Linked DNA regions of Ovis aries. The main gene of each other region encodes a partner of the protein of the gene in region 2 in a complex. Links are inferred from orthologs where the notes say so. Each region holds a gene or a part of one and is shown on either strand. Other genes may lie near its edges.

Evidence for each region. The genes of interacting proteins can lie anywhere in the genome.
Region 1: the proteins of IKBKG (region 2) and IKBKB are in contact, whole or in part, in a crystal structure (PDB 3BRV), measured with the Homo sapiens proteins. The link is inferred for Ovis aries from reciprocal best matches to the Homo sapiens genes IKBKG and IKBKB. Residues at the interface, in NP_001093327.1 of Homo sapiens: Arg62, Ile65, Arg66, Asn69, Leu72, Arg73, Arg75, Cys76, Leu79, Phe82, Gln83, Gln86, Lys90, Leu93, Met94, Phe97, Ala100, Arg101, Val104; in NP_001547.1 of Homo sapiens: Ser705, Leu708, Glu711, Ala712, Leu715, Cys716, Leu718, Leu719, Ala722, Ile723, Asp725, Thr726, Glu729, Gln730, Gln732, Phe734, Leu737, Asp738, Trp739, Trp741.
Region 3: IKBKG (region 2) and CHUK share a complex: the UniProt entries of both Homo sapiens proteins name them as parts of the I-kappa-B-kinase (IKK) core complex. The link is inferred for Ovis aries from reciprocal best matches to the Homo sapiens genes IKBKG and CHUK.

What each region holds. Positions count from the first base shown.
Region 1 is NC_056079.1:36,495,320-36,499,654, reverse strand, and holds part of IKBKB (inhibitor of nuclear factor kappa-B kinase subunit beta), read right to left. Parts: intron 3,866-4,335; coding exon 3,742-3,865; intron 3,196-3,741; coding exon 3,044-3,195; intron 2,868-3,043; coding exon 2,806-2,867; intron 1,829-2,805; coding exon 1,719-1,828; intron 751-1,718; coding exon 701-750; intron 616-700; coding exon 516-615; intron 343-515; coding exon 195-342; intron 1-194.
Region 2 is NC_056080.1:79,905,957-79,910,291, reverse strand, and holds part of IKBKG (NF-kappa-B essential modulator), read left to right. Parts: intron 1-95; coding exon of another isoform or gene 96-196; intron 197-2,618; coding exon 2,619-2,737; intron 2,738-4,335. UniProt on the Homo sapiens protein: Regulatory subunit of the IKK core complex which phosphorylates inhibitors of NF-kappa-B thus leading to the dissociation of the inhibitor/NF-kappa-B complex and ultimately the degradation of the inhibitor.
Region 3 is NC_056075.1:20,875,433-20,879,536, reverse strand, and holds the end of CHUK (inhibitor of nuclear factor kappa-B kinase subunit alpha), read left to right. Parts: exon of another isoform or gene 1-924; intron 925-978; coding exon 979-1,078; intron 1,079-1,823; coding exon 1,824-1,853; 3' UTR 1,854-3,015; downstream 3,016-4,104.

The DNA of each region.
Region 1 (4,335 bases), on a different chromosome or scaffold from region 2:
AGAAGAGGGCCACACGGGGTCAGAGGCAGAGACTGAAGTGATGCTGCCGCAAGCCAAGGAGTGCTGGAGCCAGTGGCGTCCGAGAAGTGGCGAGGAGGGATTCTCCCCTTGAGCCTCCCGAAGGGGCCCGGCTCAGCTGATGCATGGACACCAACCCTGCCGCCTCCAGGACAGGCCCGCCGGGGCTCACTCACACACGCGATCTTCAGGAGGTTCCAGAGCTCCTTCTGCCGTTTCTCCTGCAGCCGCACCACCGTCTTCTCATCCTCGCTCATCAGGCTGACCACCTCCTCCACCTTGGGCAGCAGCTCCAGGGCCTTCTGCTTGCAGACCACGGTCTTACTGTGAAGACCAAGTGCGATGAGTTCCAGCGCGCCCAGGTCAGGGGGAGCAGGACGCGGGCCCCAGCGGGGATGACTCTGTTCGGCCACTGCAGCTGGCAGCTCCTCCAGGGCCCAGGGGAGGGGATGGGGCCTCTCCTCATTCCACCCTCCAAGGGGACAGCGGCCTGATACCTGAGCTGCGTGTAAATCACTCGCACTTTCTTCTCAAAGCCTTGGATTGCCTGGAGGAGCAGGCGCACCATTTCCTGACTGTCACCATCAGTCCGCTGGTCTGCAAAGCGGGACGGAGCCGCACGGTCTGTGGGGGGCCGGTCTGGTGCCCGGGCAGTAGGGGACCCGGGAGGCGGCCCACTCACCTCTCGGTTTCTCCCTCAGCCTGCGGTAAAGCTCCCGCGCCTGCTCTTCTCTGAAACACACAAGGCAGCGGCTCCATCAGCGCCAGAGCTACTGCCGGCAGCATCAGCAACTTCTGGAAGCTGGGCAGGCAGCACGTCCTGGCCAGAGGCAAGCACGCTCCCTGGGGATGTCACGGGCGAAACCCATGACAGAGGAAGACCCGGCTCACTGTCGAAATGCCAACTCAAAGCTCATGGTCAAGACTTCCTGAGAGTCCTCAGGACAGAAGCCTCCTCTGTCCCTCAGCATTCCCCACCCGCCTGGCCCCCGCAATTCAGAGGTGTGGGTCCTGAGTTCAGAGAACGTGGCCTCTGAAACTCAAGCCAGGAGCAGACATGCCCTCCCCAGGGCCCAAACACAGTGAGATGGACTGATGTTTCCAGGGGCTGACTTTTGTTTGAAAACCAGAGTAAGATAAAACACTGACTAACTTGACAAAATACAGGCTACAGATAATCAGATTTCAAAGACTGGAGCCTCCGGTTCTAAGAATCCTGGCAGAAGCATCAGAGGCCTAGCTGAGCCCCAGGGAGGCTCTCCTGGTGCCCTCGTCTGCTCCCGGAATGCAGGAGGGGCTGCTCTGCCCAGGGAGGGTCCCTGGAGCTGAGGCCAAAGTCCTGATCACGACTCAAATGAAGAGTCAAGGTTCCACCTTCTAAGACTTACCTGGCTCCCTCCCTTCCTACTTCCTGCTTCTCAGGGGTATGCTGGGCAGAGGGGCATCTGACCTGATGCTTTGGAGTTCACGAACCATGGCTCGGGGCGTTATCTGAACTGGTCCCCACAACTGTGAGGTCAGACAGCTCTTCTGTCTCAGGTGAGGCTCAGAGGGACGGAGGTCTGCCCGGGCTCAGCTTCCAGATGTGCCGAGAGGACCTCCCCAGGACCGGGCTGCACAGGAGGGCGCGCTCCAGAGGAACTGCGCTTGAACAGCCCGCCCGTGCGCCCGCCCGCGCGCAGGCACATGCACACACTCACAGGTCGTCCAGTGTCCCGCCCTGCTTCCGGCCCATGGGGCTGCGCTGCAGGTCCACGATGTCCGTCTGCAGGGCCATCATCCGCTCCACCAAGTGCTTCACCTCGTTCTCCTGGAGACAGAGCCACGCTGAGGCTGAGCCCCGACAGACTCGGCCAGGGACTCCTGAGCCTCACCATGGACCTTCAGCTGCCCGGCTAGAAGGGACATGGCCTCGGGAGTCTGTGGCCAGGATCTAGGCCTGCCACCCGCCAGCTCTGTGGCCCTGGGGCAGGTCACCTGGCCCCAAGCTGCAGTCTCCCCCACTGGAAACTAGGGCAAGATGCGACGGGGCCTGAGGGGACCTGGCCTGGCCCCCGTGTGGAGACGAGCCGGGGCACGCTCCCCTCTAACTTGCCCTTGATCTCAAGGGTTACGCCCACGAGGACAGAGATCGTGGGGAACGGGGGGCAGGGGTGGAGTGGTGGCTCACATCCCTGTGCCTGAACAAGGGGTCACCCACCTCGAACAAGGGGCATCAGCACCGATTTATAGAAACAGACGCTTCGACATGGAGGGGAGGCTCCCTGCCCAAGTTCACTGGGCAGATGGTGGAAAAGTCCAGGAAAAGGCCTTGGGGCCCAGGCTTCCCCCTGAGCGAGGTCCACAGGGGCACCCCGCCTCCCTGCCTGGCCTCACAATCAACACTGTTCAGCGGCATCGGATTCACAGCCCTCAGACTTGCCCCTTCGGACCCGTTCCTTCCTACGGGCTCAGTGTCCCGAGGAGGAAGTCAGGGCAACTTCTGACACAACCAAGTGCTGCTCCTTTATCCAAGGGCCCTTCTCGCGGGAAGAAGTCTGTACTCCCCAGGACGTGTCACGTCGTAAGCCTGACTCAAACCTGTGTGGCTCCCGGACTGGCCACACTGGGGACCTCTGCCTGGCACCCCCTACCTCCTTCCAGCAAGTGCTAGCTGAGAGCAGAGAGCCTGGTGAAGAAAATGTGATTTTTGACACAGAAGCTAGACCAAGCGCTCAGTGAGAAAGGGGAGAGATGGCAGGGAAGAGGGTGCCCTCGGCAGGGCTGGGAACCCAGGGAGCCTCCTACCCGTCCGCAGAGCTCCACGGCCTGCTCCATCTCCCTCCAGGCTAGCAGCAGCTTATCCGACGCTGGAGGAAAAACACGGAGGGGAAAACAAAAGTTAAAAAAAAAAAAAAGAAAATACCCCAAAACCAAGAAAATAAAAAGGCACTCCATTATAACACAAAAAAAGAAAAAAAGAAAAAAAAAACTTGAGAAAGGATTTTAACGGTCTCTCCAGATTGATTGCAAAGGACACACTCACTGATCCCAAACTCCGTCTGCTCCCTGTACTTCTCCAGGTCAATCTGGATGCTGGTTTTAAAGAAGTCCAGCTTGGCTTTGAGCTGCTGAGACATGGAGGCCATGGAGTTCTTCATCTTGGACAGACAGCTGTTGTTCCGCAGAAGATTCATCCTGCAGGGGCCCCCAAGAGACACACCACGGGTGTGTTTGGGATCCAGGTACCACTTCCCGGACCATAATAAAACTGGCCTCCAACACCTTGGCAGGCCCCTGCTATAATTAGTATAATCACAACAAGTGCAGCCACATATAACCATCACGACAATTTCCTGGCCCGTAGCGATGGGTGAGGCTCTGCTCCTAAACTAGAATTAGGTGAAGTGCCACGCAAAGGAACCCAGACCAGCCACAACCTGGGGAAAGAGTCAGCCTGGCCCGGCAGGGTGGCCGACCCACAGTGGAGCTGGGCCAGCCCTCCGGCCGGCCGCCCCCCACCCCGTCCACAACCCTGGTCCGCGCGCTGACCACATGTGCCTGTTGGGTCTAACAGGCCCTCCCTCCATCCTGCCCACCGATGGCTTCCCGCCCTTCCAGAGCAGCGTCTTCCCTCCTGCCCCTCCCGACAGCGGCTGACCCTGGGGCCCCGCCTCGGCCCCCGCCCCGCGGCCAGGCCACAGGGCACTCTAGGCACATGGTGCCCTGCACCTGGGCACCTACATGGCCGCGCGCTGGCCCTGCTGCAGGCGGCTGCAGTCTTCCTTCAGGGCCTGGATGCTGTGCCAGACTTGGCCCCACACCTTCCGCAGCTGGAAGAACGGGAGGTTCCTCTTGGGCTCTTGCACTGAATGGAAACACAGGCGACAGTCAGGGCGCAGTGCCTGCGGTAGACGACAGCATCCCACCCCTGGAGCCCGCTGGCTCAGCCACACTGGTCGGTTATGTAACGGCTCAGCTATTATACAACCGCCTTGGGTGTTGAGCCTGCCTCCTGTTGCTCACTTTTGCGCCCCGGGGTACACACACGTCCACATTTACAGATGCACAGAACACCTTGGAAGGAAGACTCAGGAGTCTGGTGGCAGTTTTCCCTGGGAAACTGGGGACACGGAGGAGCTTACTCTTCACTGTATTGTTCTATTGTACCTTTTGGTATCTTGTGCATATATTAATTACTAACGTACAAAGACAATTTCACAAATAAAATGGTTTTGCGATTCAAGGTCAACAGCCTGTGGGCCATCTTCTCTGTCCCGTTTAGATGAGGCTGAAATTAACTGAAGATGCCCTGTCCTGCCTCTGGTGGGGCTGCTT
Region 2 (4,335 bases):
CTCATATACCATAAAATTTGTCCCTTGAAAGTATAGAATTCAATTGTTTTTAGTATAGTCTTAGAGTTGGCCAACCATCTCTTTCCTTTATGTAGTTCCAAAACCGCAAGAAGAAACCCCAGGAAGAAACCGTGTCCCCATGAGCTGTCACTCCGCAGTCCCATCCCCCCAAGCCCCAGGTACCTGCACATCTCCTGTGAGTGGAATCCTGCAATGTGTGGCTCTTGTGTCTGGCTACTTTCTCTCAGCATCATGTTTTTAAGGTTCATCCATGCTATAGTTTGTCCAAGTACCTCATTTCACTTTATGGCTGGATGATATTCCAGTATAGAGAGAGACTGCATTTTTTTTAATCCAGTCTTCATTTGATGGACATCTGGGTTATTTCTACTCTGGCTGTTAGGAGTAATGCTGCTATGAACATTTCTGTGCCGACATGAGTTTTCATTTCTTTCAGGTAGATATCTAGGAGTTCACCCATTTTTTAGAACCAAATTCCAGACACCGTGTGATTTTTTTCCAGAAAAAGTTCCATGTGCATCTCTAAGAAATGACTTTGAAAGAAACATAACCACACCAGCACTGTCACATGTAAAATAGTACCATTACCTGCTAAGTGTCATCAAATAGATTCTAAGATACATCTTGACAGGATTTCCTGATGGATCTCATGTGAGCTGTGAGAGGCAGATGAGAATCAAGAAGGACTTGAAGGTTTTGTCCTGCCAACTAGAGCATGGGTTAGCCATCTACTGGTAACAAGGAAGGCCATGAGTGGAACTGGCTTCTGGGGATGATCAGGAGTATAGTTTTACTGAGGTTAGTTTTGAGAGGATGACTAGATATCCAAGTGGAGATATTCATCTAATAGAACAGGTGGTGTGGGCTATTTGCACTCTTAGATGAGGAAGGTCTCACTAAGTTGCCATCGAGTAAGCCTGGAAGACAGGACATGAGCCATATGGATATCTGGGGAAAGAATGTTTTAGAGGAGAGGAAAGTATGTGCAAAGGTCCTGAGGCAGAAGCTTACCTGTAATGTTCAGGGAAGACTAAAGAGGCAAGCATAGCTGGGGCAGAATGGAGAGGGGCTGAGGAGGTAGTCATGGTGGAGACTAGTCATGTGGGATTAGTAAGCCAGTGGAAGGATTCAGGCTTTGATCCTGAGTGTGACAGGAACCAGGGGAGGGGGCTGAGCTATGTGGATTCATCTGGAGTATGGAGGATATTATGGATTGTTATGTTTCCTCCAAAGAAATGTCCATATCCTAACCCCTAGTACCTCAGAATGTGACCTTAGTTAAACATGAGGTCTTTGCAGATATAACCAAGTTAAGGTGAGGTCACAGTAGCTGAGGATGGGTTTAAATCCAATGACTGGTGTCCTTAGAAGAGAAGCAGACATACAGGGAAGATGGTCACGTGATGATGGAGGCAGAGATGGAGTGATGCAGCTACAGCTGATGAATACCAAGGACCGCTGGCCACCCCCAGAAGCCAAGGCAGTGGGCTGGAGCTGATCCTCCCTCAAAGCCCTCAGAACTATCCAGCGCTGCTGACACCTTGCTCTTGGACTCCTGGCCTCTAGAAAGCAATCTGTTTCTGTTATCTTAACCACCTGCCAAATTTGTGGTCCTTTTGGGCAGCCCTGGGGAACTCCTACAGCCACAGGGGTGGAACTGGGAGCCTGGGCAAGCTTATTGTAGCTGCTCAGCAAGGGACTCTCAGTGGGCTGGGCCCAGTGGTGGGCTGGAGTGTGGGCATTAATCCATAGGGTGTGCCCATGGGCTTCAAGGTGGAGAAGTTAGACAGGCAGTCAGATAGCTAAGTTGGGTTGTAAGAGACAAGTCTGTCCTGGAGGTAGGACTCTGTAAAGTCTCAGCCTTTGGAGGGTACTGAAGGCCTTGAGACAGAGCAGGTCATCCTCACATGTGTATACATGGAGAGGGTCACAGGCCTCAGACTGCCTTTGAGAAGGAATGGTGGGCGGGGCTGTGTGCACATGTGTGAGTGCACGAGTGTGTGTGTGCAGGCCCCCAGGCCTGGCTGGGAGGTCTGTGTGGTGGTTGGTACCGAGGGGCGGGGAAAGCTGAGGACTGGGGCTTGACCCTGGGCTTGAGCAGGCCTCGGTCTCGGGACTGGAGTCTGGACAGCTTGAAGGGAGTTGGGCAAAGGGGAGTTGGGCCAACTCTTGCATCTTGTTGCTTGTGCAAATCTTCTGGAAATGGTATTAGTCCACATCACCTTCCAGTGGCCTGGGGCCCATGGAGCAGTGTATCTTTGTCACTCTGTTTGAATCTTGCCTTCCTCGGCACTGAGTCTCAGAGGTGGAGAGGCTCCCATGTCCCTGCCTCTCCTTTTGCCCCATCTGCAGGGATGAGGAAGGCCTGGGAGGGGGTGCTCACGGGACGGGATCTCTTTCCACTGCTTCAGTTGCCTGGATGAGGGGGAGATGCTTCCAGAGGTGGAGGTTAGGTGAGGGGGACCGCTGAGGGCAGCACTCAGGAGGCCTGTCACCGTGTTTCCAGGCTTCCCCGGGGACTTGAGTGTGCAAGGGGCAGGCAGCTGGCAAAAAAACCACTGCTGACAGAAAGTGGCTCTTTTTTTTTTTTCATGCAGCAGATGGCTGAGGACAAGGCCTCAGTGAAAGCCCAGGTAACATCCTTGCTGGGGGAGCTGCAGGAGAGCCAGAGTCGCTTGGAGGCTGCCACTAAGGAGCGCCAGGCTTTGGAGAGCAGGTGAAGTGACAGGGAGGGCGAGCCCAGCCCGAGGCCACTGCCAGGGCTCCCGAGGAGAACAGGACCCTTCGGGAGCCTCCAGAAATGTCCTCTGTGACAGGACACACAGGACTGGGGGTACTGGGCGTCCAGGACCTGGGTCTCAGTGCACCTGTGGGCTCTCTGACCTTCTGCTGGAGTTTGTCTTCTTTACTGAGTGGGTGTTTCTGGGGTGGTGTGAAAGGGCACGCCTGTGGGCTGCAGGGAAGCCCTCCCAGCTGAGAATGATGACAAGGAATGGGCACACACCAGGACCCCCAAGGGCAGAAGACACGGGTCAGGGGTGAAGACCCCCATGCCTTTGGTTCCCTCTCTCCCTCCCTTGAGGGGGCCCCAGCACGCTTCCTTCATAGGCAGCAACAGAGGCCCCCCCTGGAGACCTAGGGAGCCCACTCGAGATTCAGCGCCATGAGTATTATTGAGGGCTGATGGCTACCAGGCATGTGCCAAACTTCCTGACTCCCAGAGGAAAGCTGGTGCGCCCTGTAGACCACCCTGTGGTGCCAACAGCTGAGGCACAGAGACCACCCTTATCAGTAGAGAAAGTGTCGCATCAATGTCAAGGACTCGCACCAGCCTACTGCCCAGGCACCATCCCCGGGCCATCCTTGCACACTGGCCCTTCTGAAGTCAGCATCCTTAGGTCCTCTGGTGGCTCTCTTCTGCAGTGGGAGGTTTCTGCAGGTGAGGGTATTGGGTCAAAGGGCACGGATGTTTCTGTGGATCTCACGCCCCTCCACTGCAGATGCCCCAAACTGATGGGTTTGGGCTACAGGGTGGCCCCAGCCCTCGCAGCACTGGAGGTGGTCAGGGTGCCCCGGGTGGTGTCCGGGATGCCTTCCTGAAGGAGGCTAGGGGAACAGGCAGGAGGTAAGCGTGTGTGAGCGTGCCGCCCTCTAGGAAATGGATGGCGAGTGGGGAGGCCACTCAAGGATGAGCCTACTGGCTCTGGGATTGTTGCATCCTGCCGTCTCCCCAGACATGCCTCAGTCACTCAGTGTTGGGAAAAGGCACATGTAATTTTTAGGATACTCTGGTATCTTCTCTGCCTATCTCTTTTTCTGTGCACCTAAAAGAAGCTGCTGGAGTTGGGACACTGTCAATGCAGTTTTGTAACTGCCTTTGGTCCTCTGTGGAGAAGGCAATGGCACCCCACTCCAGTACTCTTGCCTGGAAAATCCCATGGACGGCGGAGCCTGGAAGGCTGCAGTCCATGGGGTCGCTGAGGGTTGGACACGACTAAGCGACTTCACTTTCACTTTTCACTTTCCTGCATTGGAGAAGGAAATGGCAACCCACTCCAGTGTTCATGCCTGGAGAATCCCAGGGATGGGGGTGCCTGGTGGGCTGCCGTCTATGGGGTCGCACAGAGTTGGACACGACTGAAGCGACTTAGCAGTAGCAGTTGGTCCTCTAACGACCCTGGAGGGCCGTTATTCCAGCAGTTATAGGCTCTTGGGCACCCTGCTTTCCTATCACCCCACCTCCGCTTCTACCCCCTTGGCTGAGCACGTATGTGCTGAACTACACAGCTCAGGGCAGGAGGTGTCTCCCATCAG
Region 3 (4,104 bases), on a different chromosome or scaffold from region 2:
TTTTGCTTTCATTAGAGACACTTGGGTTTATTAGAGAATGCAAATGGTTGCAAATGTTACCTCTATACAAGTGATTTTCAGTGTGAGGTTATGATTGTTTGCAAAAATATATTCACCAGGAATTTAAAAATATATTTTCCAAAAGGAAAACTGGTTTCAGTAATAATATACCTGTGGTACTTAACCACCAAGGACTGGGGACTGTTGACCTCAATTTTTCTATCTGTTGAATAAGCTGAATGAGAATTTAGTTCTAAGCTAACAGTGACCATCTTCCATGGCCTGGAATTGGTTCTACTGGGGTAGGGACTGAGGGTTAGTAAAAGGTAAGGATGGAGGCCATATGGAAGAGGAAAGTATAGAAGATAGAAATCAGATTCAGGATTGTCTTCAAATTTCCAAGGATACTTCTTTGTTCTTTGCAGCTCCCCGTCATAGTTTTCTTCTGCTGTCGTCAGGAATCAGCTTGCTTTTCTTTTTCATTGCTGTTATCTATATTTTCCACAGTTTTTTTCACCTTCCCTAATCTTTGCAGAAAAGATAGCTTATCTTTTCTGTCTCTTCCCCTACATTTGTGTCTCAGAAGTAAGCATGCTGATGTTTTTACTACTTGTAAGGAAAAGGAAATGTTCCAGAAACAAAAAGAGATCTTTCATCTGGCTGTGCCACAGGATCTCTTTTTCCCCGAGTGAGCATTTTCAGGGGGGAAAAGTTGTATATAAGTGCTACTTATATTTCAGAGGAAAATCAGATTGGCGTTATAGTGGACTCCTTATCATTAGAGCTGGGCAGAGGCAGCAGCCTGGAGTAACAAACAGGACTCTGCCTCTGGGTGGGAGGGATGAGCAAACTGAAGACAACAGGAATCAGCTGTGTTGGGTTGCTGGGTTGTGGTGTTGTAGCAAGAGCAGTATCATCCTGACCCTGAAAATCAGAAAGTAGAGGAAATTCATATGCCCTTTTGCTTTCATTCGACAGGGAGACTTTAGCACAAATGATAGAAGAAAATTTGAACTGTCTTGGCCATTTAAGCACTATTATTCATGAAGCAAATGAAAAACAGGGCAACAGTATGATGGTAAGTTTTATATGAATATGGATGTGTGTTTTAAGTGTGTTGGGTGCAAAGGGCTTAACTTTCCATGCTGGACTTATCTGGTGTTTGGGATTCAGTTGGGGAATAGAACTCAGAGCAAACAGCATTTGAGGAATGCTTAACCTCAACTCCCCATCTTCTCTTACTCATGGATATACTAGGATTATACCATCAGTAATCTTTAATAGCATTTTTGGTCAAGTTAAATGATTGGTGAGCTTTCTTTGCAGTGTGACCACTGAAATCAAATGGTCTGTACTTTTTTGCTTCTGCAGTCAGTTTTCCCCAGTAAGATGGGGCATAATTTGTACTGTACTTCAAATATAGTAACTGTTGTGTGCAAAATGAATAATGTTAATATGGTTATTAACAGAAGTGTTTTTATGAAGATTTGATTGCTATGAATTACTGATTTGTTAAAACTTGGCGAAACTACAATAAAATATTTACTGAATTAACTTTTACTATGTTTAGTCTTGATATTAATTCTTTGTTTATTCCTCTTTCATTATTTGCTTCAAATATCTGAAAACTCTTTGAAAATTTTTTTTTGTTAGTAGAAATTAAGGTAAACTAGACTCTTTAATTGTAACTTATTTGTATTTTTGGTTTTTCAACTTTTGATTATAAAATCTCCAAATAAACAGAAAACTTGCAAAAATGAACACCCATATACCTACTGCTTAGAGTCAACATCTAATGGTAACTTTTTCATGCCTGGTTTTAGAGTCTTGATTGGAGTTGGTTAACAGAATGACTTGCCACTTAGTGACTCTCCTGAAACCTATGAAGTTGTTGCTGCACATGTTAGACATTTGTTTTTCTCCTATGAAGCCATTCTTCAAATACCAGTCAATGGAAGAAATGACTATGATCAGAAACTCCACATGATTTTACAGCATAATATTTTGATTCTGGGTAATTTTAACTTCTGAACAGATAGAATTTTATGAGTCGGTGGACTTAAATCCATTTGTCTTCAAACTTGGTAAAACATTACTTATTTAACTGATTCTTTCAACATTTAACTTTTGGGCATAAGGCCAAAATAATGTATACAGAGAAGAAAATCTCAACATGTATTCTAAGTAAAAAGTGTTTGCCTATGTTTCTGTGGAAGAGACTGCTTGTGTTGTACTTGTGTTGCACTTAACAGTGCTCTTCCCAGCCTCATAAGAGAGTTTAATCCCATTTTCCATTTTACTGTACATTTGATTGTATCCCTTTCCTATGAAAGGGATTGTGCATTTGTGCCTTTAATACCAATTGATTCTTCCAAATGTTAAGTGTGCTATATGTATATGTATTTAAGATGTACATTTAATAATATCAAAGAGAAGATACCTGTTAATTTATAATGTATTTGAAAGCTTATCTGTTTTCATTTGTAAAAATGGGTCTTTTCAGGAATCTTTCATGTCTTGTCATACAAATTTATAAAGATCTGCATTCTTTATCTATAATTCCAAAATCCAAAAATCTTTGAAAACAAGATTTTTCATAAAATTGATGACAAAATTCATCTGCTTGCACATCCAACAAGAATTGACAGTGAGTCTACTTATCCCATTTAGTGTGAATATTCTTTTCTTTTGCTGCAGAAATATTACTGTATTTGATTATTAGGGGGAAGGGTGCTGGCACAGACCCTGCCTGAGGTTTATGTAGTATGGTATATGCACTGAATTACCTTTCTAAAATCTGAAAATTTCATAATTCTGAAGCATCTGTCCCCAAGGGTTTCAAGACTAGATTGGGTTGCCTTCAAGATGGTATGGCCGCAGACAGGGTTTCAGATAAAGGATTGTGGATCTATTGTCTATTAAATAATTTAGAAGGTATTACTTGTTTTAAAAATGTGAAATGCTTTTGTATTCTAGACAGTTTTTCACTTTGTATATTAAACAATTTTTAAATTACTTTCTGAATCTCTATTCATTAAAACCAGACTGTAGCAGAATAATTGAATATGCTTTGAGAAAATGTGAAGGTTCCATGAAGCAAAGTTGGAGCACAGAGTAACATAACAGGCTTTTAGTGTACTTAGGAATGAAACAGACTTACGGTAAAGGCAGTATTGGGTAGCTTCTTTAATATAGTCTTTTCTCCTGAGATGGCCTGTCATCACTATCTGTTTCTAAAAACTATGCTTATACCATGTCCTAAAAACTGCTGTCTTAGTTACACCATCCCCATTTTTGCTAATAGTGTCATTTTTCCAGTCATCTCAGTTTGAGACCTTGGGATTGTCTTCGCCTAACTTTTTAGTCAACTGCTACTACTGTTTCTCTGAATATGGACATTCTGGCTACCAGCCATTAAAACTGGCTGTCTCTCTCTTGCTTCTTCCAGTTCTAGAAGGTTTTAATCAGTAAACATTTATTGGGTGCCTGTTGCTTGGAAGAAACTGAGCAAAATGGGAAGATCAGAAAAATTAACACAGGCAGTACAATAAGAGTGTTTATTTGGAATGAAATTATTGTTAAAGGCTTTTTGAAATGAGCATTTTCTAAATATCATTATAATAACTGATAAAAGACCTGGTATAGGGTGGGACTATTTTTATGGTTTGTGGCTGATACCACCTCAGGAGAGCCTGATCTGTATGATATAGGCAAGTGGTATGAGTCAGAACAGCCTATTACAGTGAGATCACCTCAGATATGCTTTTGATACATGAGTTGACCACTCTATTTGTTATTTGTTGACAGTTTTCAGAGTTGAATTTCAATTGTGGATTATATCTATTTCATTCAAGCAATACTATGAAAAACTAAAATAATTCATCCAGAAAACAGAAGTAAACGAGTTATTTTTCATTCGTTTTGCTTTTTGTAGGTCAAAATAGCTAAGCTCTGCAACAAACATTTATCTAGTACAGACAAGGTCCCATATATTCTTAGGTGTAAAAGTCAAAGGGATGATCCAGGTAAGTGCATTTATTGAAGGGAAAAGGTAAAGTTGTTTGGGAGGGCTTGCTTTAATGAAGATTTGAATTGATTCTATTA